Linked DNA regions of Arabidopsis thaliana. The protein of the gene in region 1 interacts with the protein of each later gene in a pairwise test. Each region holds a gene or a part of one and is shown on either strand. Other genes may lie near its edges.

What was found. Proteins that work in one complex are often made in the same cells at the same time.
Region 2: the proteins of RABA1c (region 1) and AT5G05820 interact in a protein complementation assay, tested with the Arabidopsis thaliana proteins (one large-scale study listed by BioGRID).
Region 3: the proteins of RABA1c (region 1) and CHX27 interact in a protein complementation assay, tested with the Arabidopsis thaliana proteins (one large-scale study listed by BioGRID).

What each region holds. Positions count from the first base shown.
Region 1 is NC_003076.8:18,555,487-18,562,354, forward strand, and holds RABA1c (RAB GTPase homolog A1C), read left to right. Parts: upstream 1-3,573; 5' UTR 3,574-3,831; coding exon 3,832-4,052; intron 4,053-4,723; coding exon 4,724-5,153; 3' UTR 5,154-5,459; downstream 5,460-6,868. Other genes in the region: AT5G45740 (Ubiquitin domain-containing protein), read right to left, coding at 1,489-1,559, 1,638-1,757, 1,841-1,963, 2,569-2,611; AT5G45760 (Transducin/WD40 repeat-like superfamily protein), read left to right, coding at 5,635-5,742, 5,845-5,941, 6,032-6,093, 6,183-6,245, 6,331-6,390, 6,493-6,549, 6,646-6,688, 6,759-6,836. UniProt on the Arabidopsis thaliana protein: Intracellular vesicle trafficking and protein transport.
Region 2 is NC_003076.8:1,749,852-1,757,809, forward strand, and holds AT5G05820 (Nucleotide-sugar transporter family protein), read right to left. Parts: upstream 4,511-7,958; 5' UTR 4,007-4,510; coding exon 3,560-4,006; intron 3,148-3,559; coding exon 3,044-3,147; intron 2,936-3,043; coding exon 2,707-2,935; intron 2,405-2,706; coding exon 2,255-2,404; 3' UTR 1,835-2,254; downstream 1-1,834. Other genes in the region: AT5G05830 (RING/FYVE/PHD zinc finger superfamily protein), read left to right, coding at 6,059-6,432, 6,734-6,974; AT5G05840 (replication factor C subunit, putative (DUF620)), read right to left, coding at 7,417-7,958.
Region 3 is NC_003076.8:254,259-262,324, forward strand, and holds CHX27 (cation/H+ exchanger 27), read left to right. Parts: upstream 1-3,047; 5' UTR 3,048-3,151; coding exon 3,152-3,370; intron 3,371-3,510; coding exon 3,511-4,023; intron 4,024-4,257; coding exon 4,258-4,755; intron 4,756-4,837; coding exon 4,838-5,695; intron 5,696-5,871; coding exon 5,872-6,087; 3' UTR 6,088-6,232; downstream 6,233-8,066. Other genes in the region: CHX26 (cation/H+ exchanger 26), read right to left, coding at 57-944, 1,029-2,039, 2,170-2,382; AT5G01700 (Protein phosphatase 2C family protein), read right to left, coding at 6,590-6,889, 6,971-7,194, 7,325-7,439, 7,527-7,832, 8,031-8,066. UniProt on the Arabidopsis thaliana protein: May operate as a cation/H(+) antiporter.

The DNA of each region.
Region 1 (6,868 bases):
AACTCTTTAATTTTTGCTTCTTTTTTTTTCATACGAAAACTCTTGATATCAAAATATCTTATATTCTTGTTGTGTGTATTCATGATAATGAACAAATTTTAGAATCTTGGATATAAAAATAATCAGATTATACATGAAAATATATAAAAATTGATATTTAGAGTCAAAAATGAATCTAACAATAAAAATGTAAGTACATAAGATGAGTCTAATTTTACTAAGTATAAAATAACAAACAAAAAATAAACATAAATTAGCGACAAAAATAATTAACATATTTTTATCTAAAGAATTTTCAAAACAAACCCACGCGTAGCGTGGGAATTCATCTAGTCATAAGTGAAAATAGAACATTTTGAGAAAAATAGCTTAGCTTACAGGATTTAACTTTTCAATTATTTTCATTTATTAATTTTAACTCAGTTAATATTAATTTGCATGATGTAAAATTAACTTACGAGATTACGCTATATATAGAAAATATATTTTCAACAATGTTTGGTTTCTAAATATTTTTGTGGATTTCTTTTTTCTATTAATTATTAGCCCTGGGCGTTTGGGTATTCGGGTCGGGTATTTCGGGTTAGGGTTTTCGGGTTTAGAAGTTTAGGACCCGTTCGGGTAGTTTAAGATTTCGGGTCGGGTTCGGGTTCGGATTCGAGTTTATTTATATATTGAAATATCAAATTTTGTGTGCAAATCTATTAAATTACTTCAAAATTTCAAAAATTCTCAAAACAACACCAGTAGTTTTGCTTGAATATATCTAAAAAGACACAAAAATAACTAAAATATCCAAAAAATCCTAATATTTTCTATATATAAGTGTAAATATAACTAATATATACTTATATTTGAAATATGTTTGGATACCTATTCGGGTTCGGGTTCGAGTTTTTCGGGTTTTGAAGTTTAGACCCGTTCAAGTATTTGAAAATTTTCGGTACACCCGCCTAAATAGGCGGGCCTTATCTAGTATCAACATAAACTTTAACTAAATAAGGAAGTTTGAGCTAAGTGTAACATTAGATAATTCAAATTAATGTTTGTGGTAGAAGAAAAAGACAATGTTAAAAAAAAAAAGGTATCTGCTACCTAGACTCGAACCCAAGCACGGATTGAAAGAGTGTGGGGACACAACCACTAACGCTAGCTTCAAATATATCAGTTGTATTCCAAGATAAACTTTATAAACCTTGTGTAGGGCACGTGCCCTACCTACCCACAACGTAGATCCGCCCCTGGTTGTCAAAAAGACTTCATAAGATCATTTTGACCACAAAAGTTCACAACTCTTGGCTCTGTACATTTGTACCTCAACCACCATCTCTCACTTTAGATTCCAGTAACTATACAGAGAGTGTCTCCTACTAATATACCGTGTTTCTATTCACTATCAATTGCAAAAAGTATTGAATATGAGAGACTTACTTCAACTTCTAGTCCTCTTCTACTACTTACTAAGTATTGTGTCAATGTTCTTGGAAGTTACTGTCCTTCCTCTCGAATCAGATTCGTGGGCTCACTTAGAACGTACCTAGGAAGCTCATATCTAGCACCTGCATTGAATAAGAGCAAGTCATTAAGGTAACAAAACAAGAAACGAGAGAAACGAATCAGAATTGTGTATTACAAACCTCTTTCATCCCAGCACAATGTTAGGTCACGGTTCTGAACAATCACGCCTGCACTGTCAACAATAGTTTGTGCTAGTTTCAAGTCAGCTTCAGCAGCAGCTCGAAGTGCTTCCCATATCTCTGGTTTTCAGTAAATTTCGCTCAGTTTCCAAATGTACATAGTGCGATGCAGCAGATTACAAGAAAGAGAGATATATATATACCTCTTTGACCACCATAGTGTGGAGAGGTGTCCCAAAATTCCTCACGCATGTTCGTAAGTTGTGCCCTTGTGATTGGCTCAGTATGTGCCCACGGTTTAGGTTTCATGATTTTCTTCCTTTTTGCTGTGTCAAACGTACAAAACTCATAAGAGAATGATACAATATAAACTACCACCAATTTTAAAACAGTTCTTTCAGTAACACCAATATTATAGCCATCTACTTCAGAAGATCATCACAGTTTCAATTTCATCAAGACAACAAATACAGTATAAGGCAGAACGAATCAGATTATATTGTCTATTGTTCACAGAACAATTTTTCTTGGTAAAAATGGAATGTTATAACATTAGTAAACGGCCATTTCATTTCAATCATACCATCGATAACAACTTTCTCTGATCCAACATTCTAATTCTGAGCAGTAGAAACAATGTTGAAGAGCATTCTAATTCTCTGCTGAACTAATTCTGAGCTTCAAAATTTGGAATCTTTAACGAATCACAAACATGTCAACACCACAATAAACTGATATTTCCTTCGAAATCACTCCAAGAATCATAACATTTGCAAGATTAGTTCATGTTAACACCTCAAAACTAGAACTATCACCAAGAATCAAAACATTACAACACAAGTATAAATCGTAGCCCAAATTCTGAGAACAAATTCAGCGAGACAAACGGAGTGCGGAATTAAAGGTTTAAGAGAGTATCGATTCCACTAACCTCCGCCTTCATTTCTGGCCTGAGAAGATCCGATACAACCCATTCTCGAACCGTTGAGAGTCGCGTTTGATTAGGTGAAAATTGGAAGTCGCTTCGAACAAGTAAAGTAAATGCCAGTACAAACTCGACCGTCGGGAACGAAACGGAGAAAGATAGCCGCCGATAAGAGTTTCACGGCGGGAGAATCGCCGGAGAAGTCTGCAAGAGTCGTCTTCAAGGTCAAATTCTGTTTTGACTGCCAAATTAGGCCATGAATGTTTTGTTGATTTTGGTGGGTTTTTGGATTTTGGATTGTGGCTTTTGGTTTTTTGTTTTTGATTTTATGAGTTTTTGATTTTGGTGGAGATTTTAGATTTTGCAAAATCTTAAATGGTAACTTTTCTAGTTTTTGATTTTTATATAATTATTATTTAGAAACGTTTTAAAATTATTTATTTAAAACTTTATTTTTATTTTTAAAAACAAAAAAAAAAGAGTTTACGATAGAATTTGTTGAAAATCCCAAAAAAGTGAATTTTGGATTTTAAGAACAAATGACTAGAATCTTTTAAATTTTGAATTCCCTATAATTTAGGAAATTAACTTTTTACAAAATCATGAATGGATGAAAAAGTGGATTTTGTAAAATCAAAAGCCAAAATCAACTTTAAAAACTAGTACCATTCAAGGCCTTAGTTTGTTAGAGAGAAGAAAGTGAAAACAGATCTCCCCGATTTTATTTATAGTCACTTTACTTGCCACGTCATATTATTCTGGATTAGTATATTATATCTGTTTGAATTAATCGTCAGCGTCTGTAGTCCAACGGTTAGGATAATTGCCTTCCAAGCAATAGACCCGGGTTCGACTCCCGGCAGACGCATTCTTTTTTATCATTTTAATCAGTTTAGAAAAACATAAAAGATAAAGACAAATGTGAATTGACGAATACGTCCTCGTCTTTATCGAAGCGAGCAAGGTAATAGATCAGAACGCGTTAACAGGGCAGTTTAGTAAATTTGGCCACACAAATGTTAGATTTCTTTGTGATAAAGACAGTACACAAGTCCTTTGTCTTTCTCGTTTGATATTTTCCAATTCCGCGTCTTTCTCTGTTGAAATCGAAAAAATTTTCAAAACAAAATCTAAGGAAAAAAGAGCAACAAGTTTCAAATCTCATTTGGGTTTTTCATTTTGAAAAGAAGGACCCATTTTTATCTCTCTCTTTGTTTTGTTTTCTCGAATCTGAAGGAGTAAAGTTAAAAGCTTTGAAGGAGAGAATCAATGGCGGGTTACAGAGCAGATGATGAATACGATTACCTATTCAAGGTTGTTCTGATAGGTGATTCAGGTGTGGGCAAATCCAATTTGCTTTCACGATTCACGAAGAACGAGTTTAGTCTCGAGTCAAAATCCACGATCGGGGTCGAGTTCGCGACTCGGAGTTTGAATGTTGATGATAAAGTCATCAAAGCTCAGATTTGGGATACTGCTGGTCAAGAAAGGTCTCATCTTTTTCAACCACATTGTTCATTTCTCGATCTGGTTTCTTATATTAGAACATTTTGATTGAAGTTTTGGGGTTTATGGTTTTGTTTGGTTGCCAAAGACAGTAAATTTTCAGCTTAGGTTAGATCTGTATCAATTGATTTAGATCCATTGGTATTGATCACTTTTATAAGAAGAGATCTGGATTAGTATGTGATTTTGACAACTTGGGTTTTGTGTAAGATAGGAGAATCCTATGATTATGATTATAAAGTTATCAGCTTTATCAAATTTCTTCTGTTGTTTTTGCTATTTTAGGTTTATGTGAGAGAGCTTGATTGGTTTCAGTAACTTCATTTCTACGATTCTTAGCTCTTCTTTCTCAGATTTCACCTAAGATTCTTCAATCATTATCGATTTCTTCTGTTGTTTTTGCTTAGTTTATTTATGTAAGAGAGCTTGATTGGTTTTAGTTGGATTCTTAAACTTTCATTTGAAGCTTTTACTTGGTCTTAATTTCAAAATTGAAAAGCTTCTTGCTTTGTATGATTTGCTATTCTCCATTTCTCTGATCAGTTTTGTAAAGCGTGCATAGTCTGAATTCGAAACTGTAAAGCTTCTTGCCTTTTTTGTGTTCCTGATGTTTCGGTTAACTTAATTCTCTGTTTCGTTGACTTTGTTTCAATAGGTACCGAGCCATCACTAGTGCGTATTACCGAGGAGCTGTTGGAGCGCTTCTTGTCTACGATGTAACCCGACACTCAACATTTGAAAACGTTGAGACTTGGCTGAAAGAACTCAGAAACCACACTGATCCAAACATTGTAGTCATGCTCGTGGGCAACAAATCTGACCTTCGCCATCTCGTGGCTGTTCAGACTGAAGATGCTAAGTCATTCGCCGAGAAAGAATCTCTCTACTTCATGGAAACCTCGGCTCTCGAAGCCACCAATGTTGAGAACGCTTTCGCCGAAGTCCTCACTCAGATTCACCACATTGTGAGCAAGAAGGCGATGGAAGCTGCGAGCGAATCCGCTAATGTTCCATCGAAAGGAGACAAGATCGATATCGGTAAAGATGTTTCAGCTGTGAAGAAAGGTGGATGCTGCTCGAACTAATCAGAGAGTAGAATTATTGTTAACAACCTAAGGATCGGTTTTTGTTAACGGTTCTATCGAATATGAAGATTGCTTTTAGGTTGAGTAATGCCCATTTGGTGTATTTCTGTTATTTATCTGATCTATCAATGTTATTGTTTGAAAATGCTATGTCAAATTTTCAGAACCCTAAATTATATTTATCTCAAACAATAGAATTGTTGAAAAGAAAAGATAAAAATAGTTTCTGCCTTTGATGATTTCAGTTTGGTTGAACATAATTTTCGGTTTGATTTCGTTTCACCGTATCGGTTCATTTTGGTTAAGTGGTACTAAAATCGATTTCTGTTAGGTTGGAATTTTGTTGTTTCGATTTTTTTGGTACAAAACCGAAGGATTACCAAAATATCCGGTTTAGTTTTGGTTTGTTTCGGTTAGCCTTTTTTAGCTCAATTTAGAGCTTGAAACTGAGCAATCGCCGGAGAAACTCTCACTCACAGTTATGGCTACGGCAATGGAAGAGCCAAGGAAGCTGAGAGGCCACAAATCAACTGCCACTTGTTGTATAGCTTCTCGTGACCGGCCTGGAATTGTTCTCACTTCCGGCGAGGTTTCTTAATCTCTAATTCAAACCTCTTTTTTCCGATGAATTTAGGTTTCGTTATTGTAGTTACTTCGCAAGATTCATAGTTTTCCGATCATACGATTATAGGATGGTTGCATTTGCTGGTTTGATTTGCGATGTAAAGATGTTCAATTCATCATCGATGTTGGAACAGAACCAGTTTCATCTCTTTGTTTCAAGACAGGTTTTGTCTCTTTGTGTTTTGTCTGTTTCTCTCTCTTTCAATTTCTTCTCTTTGTTGCAATTTGGTGATAACTTTTATTTGATTTTTCAGGTAATGAGAACATTCTCTATGCTTCTTGTGGAAACGAAATCAAGTCTTTCGATGTTCATACGGTAATTTAAAATGTTCAAACTTTGATTAACTAACTATAACCATATCCTTCACTTAGTTTTAAAGCTTCTCTCTTTATGCAATTTCATAGCTAAGTGCTACTTCTTGGAAGCCATTAGAGAGTTACAATTACAACAAAGATGAAGTTAACCAGGTAGAGATACTAAAAACTCGACTTTTCGAAAAAGTTATCATATTTACCTATGACATTGATGTTGACATCTTTTGATTTGTTAAAGGTAGTATGTAACGGAAGGTCGTCTTTTCTTGCTTCTGCAGATGATTCCGGCGATGTTAAGGTACACTCAATAGTTGTTCTTAATACTTAAAACTCTTAAAGATTACATAAACATGAATTTTGGTGGGACGGTTCTCGGTTTGATTAGTTTGCTTGTACACAGATCATCGACCTTGGTCAGAAATGCCTTTATAAAACCCTTAGAGCTGGTCACACAAGTGTATCCTTACTTCGTTTTTTTTACCCATTCTCGTCTATGAAACTCTACTAGCCTCGAAAAAATGTCTCAAATCAACACCTTAATGAGACATATAAGATATGTAGTTCTGTACAATTCATTCCATGGAGACCTTGGGAAGGTAACTAATATCTTATTGTGATTTGTTATTATATATACACATCTCTTCTAAAGTGTCTAATTTCTTTCAGTTATAACTGGTGGACTTGATTCAAAGCTTGTTTTATGGGATTTCTCAAAAGGTCGCTCGCAAAAGATTATAGACTTTGGTAAAGACTATGCCACTAATTCTGGTTTCTTT
Region 2 (7,958 bases), about 17 Mb from region 1:
TGGCCTTTGCCTGTGTTATCTCATGTATAGTCCATCTTATTACTAACCATAGATAATGACATTTTCATAGAATAACAACGAATGTATTTTGTCTACTAGTCATTGCCATGATTTCATCTGCATAACCTTACTATTCTCCTCCGAATTATTGCGTGTACATACATTAAAAGTTTGGTCGTGTAAAACGAAATGCAAAAGCACCCAATTCCAAGTGTTTAAATTTGTTTAAAGGCCTTTCATTACAAGTTTGATTGAGAACTTGATACATTTCACATTTGACATTTACCGTCAAAGTAAAATCTATACTGCTTTGATTGTTGTTAGTCACATAAGCAAGAGGAATTATAGGTACCAAAAGCATTACCATGATTTTTTTTCTCTTACCACTAATTTTTACCATTGATTGTTGTTTTTTTTTTAAATAACATTTTCTTTGTACCATTGTCCTTTTCTTTCTTTCTTTCTTTTTTTCTTCAACCATTATCCTTGTCTAGGAGAACTGAAAGAATGGAGTTGCATAAGAATATGGGCATAGCAACTCTTGGGAAAGAAAGAAAATAAATGATTTCTAAACAGACTGTATATGAAATCCAAAATTACTGACAAAATCAGAGCTCAAGAAAAAGTGGCCCACGATAGAATCTTTGAAGTTAGCAGAGTTTAGAGCTGCAGAGTCACTAGATATGCAAGATATATTATCTGACAAGTAAAGTAAGAAAAAAAAATTTGTTTTATAGTTTCTTAATTTCTTTAACTATGTTTCCTCAAATAATCCTTAGGTACTAATTAAACTACAGATGTTTTCAGACAAAAATTAGACATGATAAAGAAAAGTTAATATCTCCAAAATTAGAAATTTAAATTTAATCAAAATGGTAACAATCTTTGCATGAAAAAAATCATGGAAAGTGTCGAGTGAATCCATTGGTTCATAGAATGAGAGTCCTTGGGATAAAAAGAGTTGATACGTGTGTGTACATGGTCCTCATCATTATCGTCCTCCCTTTTTCAATCTCTATTACTTTTCGCAATTCTTGTTCCTTAGCTTCTTCATGAAAAGCCCACTCGAGTACTTGAAAGAGTTTCTAGACACTCAAAAACTCAACTGTCACAGTCTCCAAGCTTAATCAAGCCTTTTTTGGTTTCTTTTCAGCTTTTTTGTCTGACTTGTAAGTCTATTATATTAACCAATTTACTCCTATATCTCTCTCCGACCCCATTTTGGCTTTTTCCTCTCTCTATCTCCTGAAAATTTTACTCTTGCTTTTTTTTTCTTTTCCCTGTCGAGAGAGTTAATATTATTGTCACATTACAAGTTTTGGTACCATGACTACGTGGAGTCTTTCTCCATCACACTCATGCTTCGAAGAAACCATGTTTTAGCAAGGAGGTTTAAAAACACTACATAGAGTGTGTTCTTTACACATTTTGGGTCAAACAATCCTGAAAATTTACGACATATATTTGGAATGGCCTACTTGGTAATGTGTGGATTAGATTCATGAAAGTGAGATATGCTGCAGTGAATCCGGATCTACGGCTTGATATGATAATGGCTGCCGTTACCAGATAAAGAAAATGAAGCGAGTGATTTGACAAGACAAAGACTATAGACAAAGACAAGACTATGTCTTCTTCATAAGTAAAAATAACTCTCTTGTCTCCTTTCTCTCTTTTAGATATTTCTTCTGCAAACTGTTATCACTTCCTATTCTGATTCTCTGCTCTGCCACTACACAGCTATTTGATCTGAACAACTCAGGAACCTTGAGATAGCTTAATATTGAATTGAATTCTCAGATAAACATTGAGAAAATGGATTTTAAGAAGAAGATAGAAGGAACTTTCTCTCTTTCGATTAAATGAATCAATCCGTGTTGTTGTAAAATGTTGACATCACAAAACTAAAATGTAAAGAATCGAAGAAACAAACCTAATTCAACAAACAACCTACAGAGGAAAGGCAAGAGAATCCGAGAAGAAAGAACAAAAATGAAAAACAAAAAGGTTACTTATTCATAGGAGGAAGTTCTCTAAATTCTTGCCTTTGGTAATCAATCTTTGTGTGGCTTTGCTTCTCTGTTTCTGCCAAAAAAAAGAGATGTTTTTGGCCCAGCTTTTCATTAAGACAAGAGTCAGTTTGGCCCAGCAAAAGAGACTACTTGCCTGTATATCCATAGGGGAGAAAATATAAAACATATATATAGGGGGGAATGATGAAGAAGAAGTAAAAGCTTTGTGTGTGTTTAGTGTTCTAATTTTTGTTTCGTTTCTTGGCTTCGCTGTACAGGATAACTCCACAGACGGTGAGGGAGTAACCCAGCATTCCGGTCACTGACACCGGATTCTTGAAGATTAGAATAGAGACCACCACTGCTACTGCTCCTTTGGCGTTTCCTAGCACCTATCACAGAGCGATCCAAAACGACGTTTTATGAGTTTATGTGAATCATATCTCAAAAGTTCGTTTTGAAACGCAGGGAACATCAAGCATTATCATACACATAAAAAAAGCAAACCCAACTCAACATCCAATACAAATGACAGGATCTCACTAACAGGAGGACCAAGCAGATAATCGTTTCTCACTAGTTCTACACTTCCTTGGACTAACTTTCTTTCAACTCCAACCAAAACCCGTATCATTTTTTCTACCATAAACAATGATGCCACTAAGAATGTAAAAGGAATGTGAACTGTAATCACCTGTAAAGTCAGGGCGCTAGTGTGGTTTGTGACTAAGAAATTTGTCAAGTTGACTAAATAGGCGAGCGCTGAATTGAATAGAAGATACCAAACGATTCTGAAATCATCTCTTGCAAGTGCAATTGTAATGCCGACAACATTTTTCTCCATGATAAGAGTAGCAGGCAGAAGGAGCACGACAGCTATTGGAGCCATGTAAAGGAGGAGATTCATGGAGTTCAGCTTTTCCCTTCAATACAATATTTAGAATCTTTTAAGCAACACTCATATAAATACTTGAACTATTGATATATAGACCTCTAACAAGGCGACTACAACAATACCAGCCATTTCTTACCCTTCAGAAGAAAGCAAAATTCCTTGAAGCACTGATTTAAGTGCTCTCGCAGCTGTTGCTGCAATGCACATAAGGAATCCAAACAGGTGAAAGCTTGGCTCACCCTGACAACACCCATAAATTAAAGAATATCAAGCATAGAATCAAACACATCACACACACAAACAGAACAAAATCTCCATTACTCGAACTTTTTTAGCATAAAGTTCACATGGTTAAGAGAAGATGAGAGAAACACAAAATCTAGCGAATACAAGCACAAAACAATACCAAATTTTCTCATGTGAAGCATAATTCAACAATGTCTGAGCTTGTCACAAAGATAAAAGCTAGCATCATTGGCCAAACATGAAACTGAATCAACGATATCACGTTCATTGCTCCAGAACCATACCTATGTTCCCAACATATCTAGTTCATTGCTCCTACATCACATCTACATCAACCTCTCTAACAACTCATCCAAAAGCATACATAAGGGATTCAAATTTAAGAGGTCAAAAGAAGTGAAAATACCCCACTAGCAATAACAACTCCGGTGACGACAGGGACGAGAGTGAAGTAAGTCAACCAAGCCTCTTTCTTACGCGTCATCAGGTAAGCAAACACGGCGGTGAAAAACGGCGTCGTAGCACCAATGGCTTGGTTAAACGAAACAGGAAGAAAGCGGAGAGAGATGTTACCAAAGACCACCGACACACAAAAAACGAGACTTAGAGCTGCGATCTTAAAGAACTGAACTCTGGATCGAATCGTCTGCATCGGAACCATCTTCAACCAAGCAATGGCGACGTAGCTGAGTAACGAACAAGCCGTCATGTGACACATGGTGAGAAAGATCGGGTACTTGAATCCGTAATTGCTAAGCAAGTACTTGTTCAGCAACAATACACCAATGTTCGATGAGTACCAAGACGCGACTAGCCCGATTGTGAAAAACCGGCCATTCGTCGCCATCTTCATCGCTTTTCTTCTTCCTAATCCTGGGTCGACTCGATCTGATGAGATGAGATTCAAACTAAAACCCTAACGAATTTCACGAAATTGGGATTGGTGGGAATCGAATCTGGACAGGAGATGGAGATCTCTCGGTCCTCCGATACAGAATTTTGACGCGTCGTGATGATGTTATTCCATCAATGGGTAAGATTTGGATTAGGTTACAACACGCGAAAATGCTGGAGACGAAGAAACCGGGAAAGAGAAGAAAGTTGGGATTTTTGGAGAAGAAGAAGAAGAAGCTCTGCAAAAAGGAGAGATCTTTGGGCTAAAGCTGCAACAACACTTCTCTTTCCTTTTTTAACTAATTTATTTTTTCTTTCAGTTTCATGATATTATAATTGGTGCGTTATGTAATGTTTCTTTGGGCTAAAGTTTTTTTTGTTTGGTTACTTGAAAAATCAAAGTGTGAAGATGTGTAACAATGAAGGAAAGGAGCCATTGACTTTGTTATTGGTTATTACCGAATCTGAGTTCTAAATTTAATGATTTACGTTCATATACTAATCCTTGAAAATTCCTAGCTAACGAAACATTTCAGTTCTGAGCATATTTAATTGACTAAGTAAATCGACCACGAATCTAATTGTAATTAACAAAGCGTTTGGTTAGTTAGGCAATCGATTTTACATTAATTTTTCTAAAAATACGAACTATTCAGAGAAAAGCTTATCTAAGTAGCAGAAGTTTGGCAGAATTATGATGAAGTTGAATAAATTTAGCAAACGTTTTTGACAAAGTGGGTGTTAAGTCTAGTGGTAGAAGACCAATAAAAGCTTTATTAGTGGTGTAGCAAAGGGAAATTATGTAATATACAATAGTTTAGAATCGATGCTCGATTCTTAAGTCAAAACAATGGTAGGATCATCTGCATTTGGGCTTGATGTTATTAGCCGTTACAACTTGTGAAGATGAATTACAACTCGTATAAATAACAATGAAATTTGCATATGAATCATTTAGATTCAAATTTGATTTTATAACCACTCAATTTCACATTACATTAGCCACTTATAAAACAAAGGATTTTTCTTAGGAATCTCGCCATATCCATAAATACCATCTTCCTTTGCTTCCCAAGTACAATTTCTACATCTAGAAGAATCTCTAACCGCTTTATAAATATCGAACACACCTTTTTTTACTTGTTCTTGGCTAAATCCACAGAAGTAGAGTGTCGAATTCATAAAATTCACGTAAAACATCCAACCATATAATCCACCTTTTTGTAGAATATGGAAGCCATGATCATCATCTCTTGATTTACAATGAACTCCTAAAAGATAATCATTGTCATTATAAATCACAACCCTAGTAAGAGGACCTTTCATTGGAAATACTTTTCCATCATGTTGTAGAGTTTCACAGCCTATCAAAGATATTAATACTATAAAGATGATTATAAACATTGAGTAGAAAATTGTTAGGAAATTTATGTTAGACGAATTCATCATGAAGATTTTCTTAATCATGATATTGCATTTTCTAGAACTTATAATTTATTTATATATAATGAGCTAACTTTACAAAAAAAATTATAATTTACATTAATTTATGTTGAATAACCTAAAATAGTCATGAAATCACTAGAAGTTTTTGTGAAGTAAATAAGAAAGTAAAAGTTGCTTTTTGTTCCCAAAAAAAAAAAAGACTAAAAGTTGCTTAAATAACCCAAAATATAATAGAAATACATCAATTAGGTTAGGTATTCATATCCAAAAAATTAAATTGACAGTAATGATCCAAAAAATAGTAGATTTATTAGAGGTGGGTCTGTCTAGGTGTCCAGGTGAACAAGTGAGAGGAGAGAGTTAATAGTTTTGTCTGAGAATCTGACGATCACTTAACTCCAAAACCCAGTGGCAATCATGTAATTTTACTGTAAAGTTTCAACCAGAAATCTCTTTTTTTCTCTCTCTCTCTGCGCTGCAAAGCATTGATCATCATCATTCATCATCTTCACAAGTCTCGTTTTCATAATTTATATGAGGATTCGTCATCCGGGTCTATACGAATATGGAATCCGTACAGCCACATCTCGAGACCTTTGTCTCTGTTAAAGTAATCAATAGCTCAAGTGGCTGTGATGGCGATGGAGAGCCTCGTCGGAGCTCCGGTGCGGTGGAGAAGGAGGAAGAAATAGTGAAAGATGAGGAGAGGAGATCCAATGCGTCGGTGTGTTCGGTGGAAATAGATCTGGAGCTTGGATTGCCTGAGAAAGTTGTACATTTGTCGCAATCTGAGAGAGATTGCAGGATTTGTCACATGAGCTTAGATGCAGCGAATCTTGAATCTGGTGTTCCCATTGAGCTTGGCTGTTCTTGTAAAGCTGATCTCGCTGCTGCTCATAAACACTGTGCTGAGACTTGGTTCAAGATCAAAGGAAACAAGTAAGTTCAAAATCTCCATATTTCTTGAGAATGGTTGTTTGGTGGTTACTTCCATTAGGAGTACGTAAAAATCTAAGCTTTAAGATAGTTTAGGAAAGGCTAAATGACTAACATTTCCATTGATGTAGGAAAGTTTTTTACTTTCTTTAGGTTATTGTCACTTTTGGTTATTGAACAGCTTTCTTTTGACTGTCTTTTTGAGAAGTTTCAGTTTTGAGGCCATTTGTTGTCAGATGAGAGACGCAAAGCTTAGCTTTTTCTTTCTTTGTGATGAGATTCATGGTTTGGTTTTGCTTTGCAGAATCTGTGAAGTTTGTGGGTCGATTGCGGGTAATGTTGTTGGAAGTGTTGAGGTGGAGTCTGAGGAAAGCCGGAATGAAGCAAATGGTGTAGAGAATCTAACTCTGAGAACATCTGGTCCACGATTGGTGGAAGGTAGAAGCTTCTGGCAAGGTCACCGGTTCTTGAATTTCCTTTTAGCTTGTATGGTCTTTGCATTTGTTATCTCATGGCTCTTCCACTTCAATGTTCCTTCTACATAGCAACACAAGTAATGTTCAACTCTCCATAAGAAGAAGAGATTCATTAGAGATCTCTCGGAAAGGTACTTCACTCTTGTACCAATGCCTTTTTTCACTATTAAGTTTGATGTAAGTTTAGAGAGGAAGAACAAGACCTAGAAGAGCTCATTATGCTATTTGCGGGTTTAATTTCTATCTAGAATATGTAAATCTGTTTCTTGATTGCGGATGATGTATATAGCTCTAGTCACTCTTAAGCTTAATGCAAATGCAGTCTTGTGAAAGTCTCTTCTCTTATCTCATTGTATTATGAATGATCTGATCACTTGCATTGCATTTTGCATCCCAAGAGTTCAGTGATTTACAGAGGAACTCAAAAACCAAAAATAGAAAAAATCCTCTGTTTCCATGTTGCAATAGATTAAAAAGGCTATGTACAAAAACCGAAACTCAGGCCATGCTTTTATGTCTCTTCAGTGACCTCTGATTCATCTTCTTCTTCCACAATTGCTAAGACCTTTGAGGAACTAATCCTCAAAGAAGCGCTTCGGATTTTCATAGGCAGCTTCTCATTATTAGCAGCTAAACCACATTCGATTTCTTCTTCTTCATCATCGTCCTTCTTCAGGTCAGAAGGCGGTAAAAAACAATCCATAGACAGACCCTTAATGTTAAAATCCATTTCCTCAATCTCCCAAGTCTCTTCCATCCGAGTCCTCGAATGATTATCCGAGTTCTCACCAAACCGAAACAGAGACACCGAGCTTTTACCAGCGTGTGCTACCAAGATACCATCAACGGTCCTGTAATCTTGGATCAAAGACTCCATTGTTGTCTCCCAAAATATACTGTTATCGTCTTGAGCTTTGATTCTTAGAAGGTGAGAGTCTTCAAGTTGAATCAAAAGACCTGTTCTCTGGCTGAAACATCCCCACACAGTGTGCCGTATGATCTCAACATTGCTGCTGCTTCTCGCCTTAAGCGCCGATGGCTCAGCATCAAGTT
Region 3 (8,066 bases), about 18 Mb from region 1:
TAAATCTAATCCGGATTTGAAAACCGGAGAAACGGAGTCAAGACTTGTGTGTTTACCTCTCGTAAAGCGACATTGTGTTTGTTCATGGTGTCTTGACGGAATTTTTCGATGGTTCTGAAATCGAGTCTTTTCTCTACGACGTCGTTTAGGTGTGAGACGTTTTCACCGTCGACAAGTTTAAGAACGGTTAGGTTTACGTAAGGTTGGTTTGTCATTCTAACCGCAAAGGCCAGTGTCTCACGGTCGTCTGCTCCACCGAGGAATATTGAACAGATGTTGATTCTCATTGAGCCGTTCTTCATCGCCGTTCCCATGTTCTTGAAATCTGGAAGCCGTCCTTGGTCCATTAGAACCGCAACGGAGCTAGGTGAGGCATTCCGGACGTTGCGACAGAGCCTTCGTTCTGCTGCAGTCCCGTCGGCCATCCCGAAAATGATGAGATCGGTTTCTTTTTCGAAGGCCAAGGCACATACATCCTCGTGCATCGTCTTGCTCGGTGCAACTGCTGTGAAACATTCAACGGAAACGTTTTCTTGCAAATCGTGGCCGCTTCGGAATTTCTCGAAGGCTTTGGAGATCTGATCTCTGCGGCTGGAAGACGTTGATGACTCGTCGTTGTGACCTGGATGGTGTTGAATGAGGAGAGGGACGTTATTTTGCTCAAGCTCTTCGAGATTAACGGAAACGATGGAGTGCGAAGAGGCGCTCGAGGGACAAGTAGAGAGCTCCAAGACGGTGAGGATGGGAGGAACGGTTTCACGGTGGTAGAAACAAGTGAGGATCTTGAGAGGTTTGTTTGGTTCGTAGTGTTGAACGGTTTGTCGCCGGTAAGTGATGTGTTTCCTCTGCACCCACCCGTAGAGATTTTTGACAATGGCCGTGAAAATGGTCGAGTGAACCATGGCAGAGATCACCATTATCCCAAATGCCTCGTGGCTTATATTCTGCATCCCTTAAAACAAGTAGTTAAAAGTCAAAACACTAATTGGCGATGAATGATATTTCATTTGTACTAAATCAATGTGTACCTTGTAGTTCAAGAGCTGTTTGAAGATTTGGACATCGTAGATCCCTTGTATGCAGACGATGAAGCCGACAATCACTGCGTGTGATATAGGAACTTGGAAGTAAAGCGATGGAAGGACGATGGAGGCAAACTTTGCAGCACTAATGGTAAAGATAAGGAACTCCAAAGATATGATGTCGCGTAGATTGAATGAAAAGAAATCCACTTTGTTACCAATCCCGATGACGTAACACGGCATAAGAACCGCATAACAGAAGCTACCGATCTTGTCAGTGAGACCAGTACCGAAAGGAGGCGTCTTAGGAGTGACAAGACCGAGAGCCACGGATCCGACTACGTAAGGAAACCCTACAGTTTCAGACAGGAAAGTGGCGGTGCACAACATGACGCAAATGGTGCATAGATGGGAAGCCTTGAGTTTCTTTCCTTCAGGGGTTCTCTTCACTATCCAGTTGAATATTGGTCGGCACACAACTACTATACCAACCAGCAGTAGTACCTTTGTGAAGGTAGGCAGATAAGTGGTCTTGGAGTAATTTTGATGCAAGAAACTGTCAAAGGTAATCAAAAGGAGGAAAAAACCCCAGCCGAAGCAGTTAGCCACCATTATGGAGGAGAGGGCTAACCTTCCGGGCTCCGAGTTCAGCATCTTGAGATTCGACAAAACCGAATACGCCACTTGAAAATACACTACGGATTGGTTTGTTAGTAAATTGTGGAGCTGCTCGGGATTATTTTTCGCCACGGTTCCACGGATGTTGCTCGTGATTACTGTACATGCTATGGCGCCCACCACGTAAGGAAACAGAAAAAGAGATAATCCATTGATGATTGCTAGCTTGCCTCCTCGCTTTATAACTCCCATGTCCACTTGAGCCGTGCTTATGTATGAGATGAACATGAAGGATATTGCCTCAAATGATTCTATTATGAAATAGCTTCTTGTGTTGAATAATTTTTTTACTAAATCAATGTTTTGTCCCAAAGCCGAGGGTCCTAAGAATATCCCAGCCTGTTTCATATATACCAACAAAATATCACACTTCTATAGTTTAAACCTTTTTTTCTTTGCGGGAAATATAGAGAGATCCAAAATTTATTAAAAAAAACGTAGAAAATGGTATGATAAAGTGATTACATACCAGAATTTGAGTGACGAAGTCGACATTTGCGAGAGGGCGGAGAAGAGCTTGGAAGACGGAAGAGAGAGAAGAGACGAGAGAAATGAGAAGAAGAAGAAGAGGAGTTGAATATTTCAATGGATCATCTCCTCTAAGTAATCCGCCAGAGCTTGATCCCAACCATGCCTCGCATACAAATTCATGTGTGCCATTACTTGTAACACTATTGTTCATCTTGTTTCTCTTTGGGAATATTTTTTCTTCTTAAAACTAGTATTCACGTTCTTCTTTATAACCATTTTTGTTTGTGTTTTTGAATTCAGCATAACGCTAACTAATTGAGCAAACAGATCAAGCTTGTTGAGCTGGGGAAGAAGATACATGTATCTTTTTTAAGATATTAAACAGTTTTTGTTGTTTTTTCAAGGATTTTGTGTTGACTTTATTATAACCGTCAGAGAAAAATAGGAAATTATATATGTCATATCTCACTTTGGCAGATGTATTTTTTGGTATTTTACACATTTTTTTTTTATTATAGTTTTATTTTTTTGTTGATCCTGATCTTTTTTAAATTAATACTTATAAGGAGTATTACTAGGTTGATTATTAATTAATCTTTTTTTGTTAGGGATCTAACTTCATGGATTTAGTAGCTAGGTTGGTTATTATAACATCAACATGCAAAATATATATTACAAACACACATGTTTGTGCAATCAATCTCAGGCTATAATGATGATCATCTGACCATGCTCAAGATTTTTGTACCACACAGAAAACATATATAGAAAACCTTAAAAGTAGGATGACCTCTAAAGAGAAATAAAGAACAAGAGGATAAACAACATGTACAATTAAACCCCTAAATATAGCTAGAGAGAGCAGAAACAAAAAAAAGAAGAGAATAATTAATACTTTCTTCTTTTCTTCAACTCACAACACAATCTCTCTCTTTCCCTCTATGGCTTGACTCTTTAGGGGAAATACCTAGCAGGAGGGAATGGAAAATATAACCAAAACTTTTCAGTACGGAGGAGTTGATTGGCTTTGCGAGCCATGGGTAGGTGCAGGCTCTTTGGGGATTGGCCGGGGAGAGAATCCGCTCAAGTTTGCTCTTCCTCTTCTTCTCCTTCAGATTTCTGTCTTTTCCATATTTTCCGTATCTTTTCAGTTTCTTCTTCGGCCTTTTGGAAAATTTGCATTCCTCACTCAGATGCTGGTATACGTTTCCATATCTAAGCATCTATAATTGGAAGCTTTCTAGTGGAAAAATATGGACTAGTCGTCTCAAAAACATGTATAGCCATGCCCATAATGGTGTAAATGTGACTTAATATTTAATAGTGAATTTGTTTGCAGGCTGGGATCTGCTTAGGACCGTCCGTTATAGGACGTAACAAACAGTACATGGCTACATTCTTCTACGCGAGAAGCGTGTACATAATCGAATCCTTCGAGGCCATATGTTTTCTCTTCATTTGCTACATCACAACATGTCAAGTAGACACTAGGATGATAAAGAGAGTAGGCAAGTTAGCATTCATAAACGGCATCTTACTTTTCCTCATACCTTTCGTATGGGGCCAATTCGCGGCCATCTTGATCTCCAAGAGGCTCAAAAGCGGGCCTGCGGGGATCCCTCCCGTGGAGTTCCACCATGTAGCGATCGTCCAGTCCACAATGTTTTTTCAGGTGGTTTACGGAGTCTTGTCGAGCCTAAAGATGTTGAACACTGAGCCAGGGAGGTTAGCACTTGCATCCATGATGGTGCATGACTGCCTCTCTTGGTGTTTTTTCATGCTTAACATCGCCATTAAACTTAATGTTGACTTACCCAATAAAAATCGCGCTGCTTTCTTGTCCGTCTTACAGGTACCCAAGTTGATAAATAATTTCTTAATTAATCTACAAATTTTGCTTTGGAACATCTTCCAATTTTCTTACTATAAAAACATAATTGACTGTGTAAATTCCTACAAAAATAGACAAACTAACTAAGATCCTAATAAAATGCATGAATCCAATAATATTTACGTATAGTATAAACTTGCTTTGATCTATATATACGCTTTTTTATTAATGATATAAAGACGGAAATGAATGCAGATGATAATGATATTGGTGATAGCATATGTGTTCCGACCACTAATGCTGTGGATGAAGAATCGAACACCAGAAGGACACTCTCTCAAGGCCTCCTATCTCTCTGTTATATGCGTCTTGCTCTTCATCTCCTGCCTCTGGGCAGAATTTGTGGGTTTACCTTACTTCTTTGGTGCGGTCGTCTTAGGTCTAGCCACCCCAAAACGTCCGCCTCTAGGCACGGGACTGTCAGACAAAATCGGTTGTTTTGTTTGGTCTGTCCTGATGCCTTGCTACGTCATTGGGATTGGCCTCAATATCGATCTCTCACTGTTTTCCTGGAGAGATGTTATCCGGTTTGAGCTACTTTTTGGGGTGGTCAGGTTTGCCAAAATGATAGCCATTGCCTTGCCTTCCCTTTACTATAAAGTGCCTCTTTGGCACGCCATTCTTGTCGGGTTTATCGTCAATATACAAGGACTTTACGACGTTCAAATATACAAACAGAATTTCAATTACACGGTAACAATAATTCATTTAGGATATACTTTGGAACATATATAATTTTAGGTCAATAACAATCAATAATGGTCAATGGGTGCAGAAAATATCAAGCAAATCTTTTGGAGCAATGGTGATGTCAGCAACGGTAAACTCGACAATTTTCATAGTGATAGTGAAGAAACTGTACCAAACCATGAGCAAACGCAACCCTTACAAGAGACGTACGGTGCAACACTGCCGAGTGGAGGCTCCCCTAAGGATCCTCACTTGTTTCCGGAACCGTGAGGCGGTCCGCCCGGTGCTTGACCTCGTCGAACTCTCTCGTCCAGCCATCGGGTCTCCTCTCTCAGTCTTCGCGGTGAATCTAGAAGAGCTTAATAACCATAGTCTTCCCCTCCTTATCCATCACACGCAAGAGATTAGTCCCTTCCTCGTGCCTAGCCGAAGGGACCAGATCGTTAAGGCCTTCCACAACTTCGAGAAGACTAATCAGGAGACCGTGTTGATAGAGTGCTTCACGGCAGTGGCACCGCGAAAGACGATGCACGAGGACGTGTGTGCGATTGCCTTTGACCAGGAAACAGATATTGTGATCCTAACTCTTGATGCCGGGATCGAGTTATGGGAGAGGCTCCTGTGTCGTAATCTCCTGCACAACTGTCCCTGCTCTGTTGCGCTTTTCATAGACAGAGGAAGGCTCCCAGATTTCAGGTTCGTTCCACTGAAAAAGCTTACCATCAATATTGGTGCTATCTTCTTAGGAGGACCAGATGACCGTGAAATGCTTGCGTATGCAACACGCTTAGCCAGCCATCCAAGCGTCGAGCTCCAAGTCTTCCGGCTCGTGGACCAGAACGGCGTCTCTCCGCTCAGAGACATGGTCGAGAGGAATCACGACATGAGAGTCATCAACGTCTTCCGCAAAGAAAATTCCGAGAAAAACATCATCTTCAGAGAGGTAATGAGAACTATTTTGCCTTGGCTTGGAAGCTATCTTATTTCCCCTTAGACGAAACCTTCTCTATGCAACAGAGGTTTCTATTCGGTTTAGAAAGTTTCTTGTGTAGACGAAACAGAGGTTTTTCTTTATCTAACCTATCATAATGTGTTCCCCTGTTTCTAACATTCTTAAAGGTAAGAATAGAGGAAGCAGTGAATCTACTGGATCTACTAAGGAAGGAAGGGGACGACTTCGATCTGATGATGGTCGGGATAAGACACGAAGAAAATCTTTTGATGTTGGAAGGATTGTCAGAATGGAGCGATATGAAGGAGTTAGGAGAGGTTGGAGATGTGTTGATCTCCAAAGATCTCGAGCTCTCTGTTTCGGTTCTCGCCGTACAGCAATGAGATTGGTGACCGTTTATCTCGTTTTCGTTCCCCGAGTTTATGGATTTGTACAGCCTTTTGTAGAATATTGAATACAAATTTTTTTCTAAAAAAGTTCTACCATTCAAGAAGATATCTTGTTTACTTATATCTTTCAAATCATTCCAGAGCATGTGATCACCAATGAAATTTCAACAGAGATTAACAGATTGTTCAATCATTTGGTTTAGTTAAGTACTTACCATCTTTACTTTTTTTTTTGTAGCTGTTCAGGTTAATGCATTTGCTGCACAAAAAGAACTTATGAATCTTGAACAACTGTGAGGTTGAAATTTGGATTTGCGGAAAAGAAGACCAAGTCCATTAGTTTGTCTACTCTTTTTACTTTTTAATAGCTTCAAAAAACAAACAGAACACAAAATTATTTCACACACAAATAAAGTTGATGTTGAGTAATATCGACACCTCAACAGGTTCAAATTTTACTAAACAGTTAGAAACAACAACAGTAACAATTATCCTACTATGAAACCCTTTGGGATAGACCCAATGGTGACAATGGTGCGGCTCCATAACACTCGTTATTGCTCTTATTTGATCTCCAGGAAATAGTTGATATTGCTCGGCTCACGTTTCCTTCTCTTGGGTAAGGCCGGTGGTTTAGGTAAAGCACCACCACCGCACAGTCATCAGCTTTTGAGGCTGGAAACTTTGTTCTCCAAGTCCGAGCGGCTCGCTGAACCAACATCTCAGCTGCAACTGACCGGTCCTTGCAGGAACCTACAACTTTCACCACTTCTTCGTTTGACAAAACATCCCAAATCTGTTCATCCAAAGAACACGCAGAAACCATTTAGTAGGGAATCCATTTGTCAGAAGACTGAAAGCTGTACAAGTTGTTTACCCCATCAGTAGCTAGAACCACAAACTCGTCTTCTCTGCTGACTTTTCTGCAGAAGACGTCAGGAATGCAGACAAGTCCATAGTCTTTGAGGCAGAAATCACCAAAAGCCCTTGACATTGCGAGCCCCGGGCAATCATCATCAGGCATCCACACTCTATACACATCGGGTTCCTCTTCCATAGCAAACACCCTTCCCTTGCATGACACTATTCTCTCTGCTTCGCCTGTTTACAGAAATCAAAGCGAAAAGTTCTTCAGGAGATTTATTTGTACGTCCCAACTCAACATTTGGTACTTTTCAAAGAGTTATTACTTATTAGGCCCTAAGTTAAAAGAAAAGGATAAGATGCTAACGTTGGACACAGGGTTTCAGATCAACCGTGAGTTGGACAGCTTTGAAACTGTTCTTGCTTCGGGTGCCAAGAACGGCTCGTGAATGTCCCAAGTTGGCGATCACCAAACAGTCAGCCTGCAAAATGTTTGACAAAACATCTTTCAATTTTTTTTGATCAACTGTCTTAAAAAACTCATAAAGCTTTAGAGACTGCTGATTTACCTGTTTAAAGACAGTTACAGCAGTTGTACCGCTGCAAAAACTATCATAAGGAGAGTCGAGACCAAGTTCACTGTCTATTTGCTTGAAGAATGTCACTAGAATGTCCTCGAATTCACGGAAGAGTTCCTCCTGACTCTGTGAACTATTATTCTCTATGTTTTCATCGCCGGCAGATTTGGAAGATCTAATTTTTGAATGGACCCTCGAAGGTAAATTTTCACATACGTGACGAGAAATCTTGTGACCCATGGGACCGTGACCGTCAAATACACCGCAAAAGATCGTATCTTCTTCCCCACCAAAGTTCTGCAGCAAAGGTTATGATGCAGATATGATTGGTCATTGCCTTAAGAGAGGCAGTAGCAAGATGTAAAAACCCATGTAATAAAGATTAAGAAAACAAAGCAGTAATGGCTACAAATGCTAGCGCCTGAAACCGAACCAAGCGAACAAGAAAAATATGAAATGACCCAACAGGAAACAAAAAAGAGTTAAAACTCTTACCTCCCAGACTGTCATGGCGTCTTGATTTATTCCTTT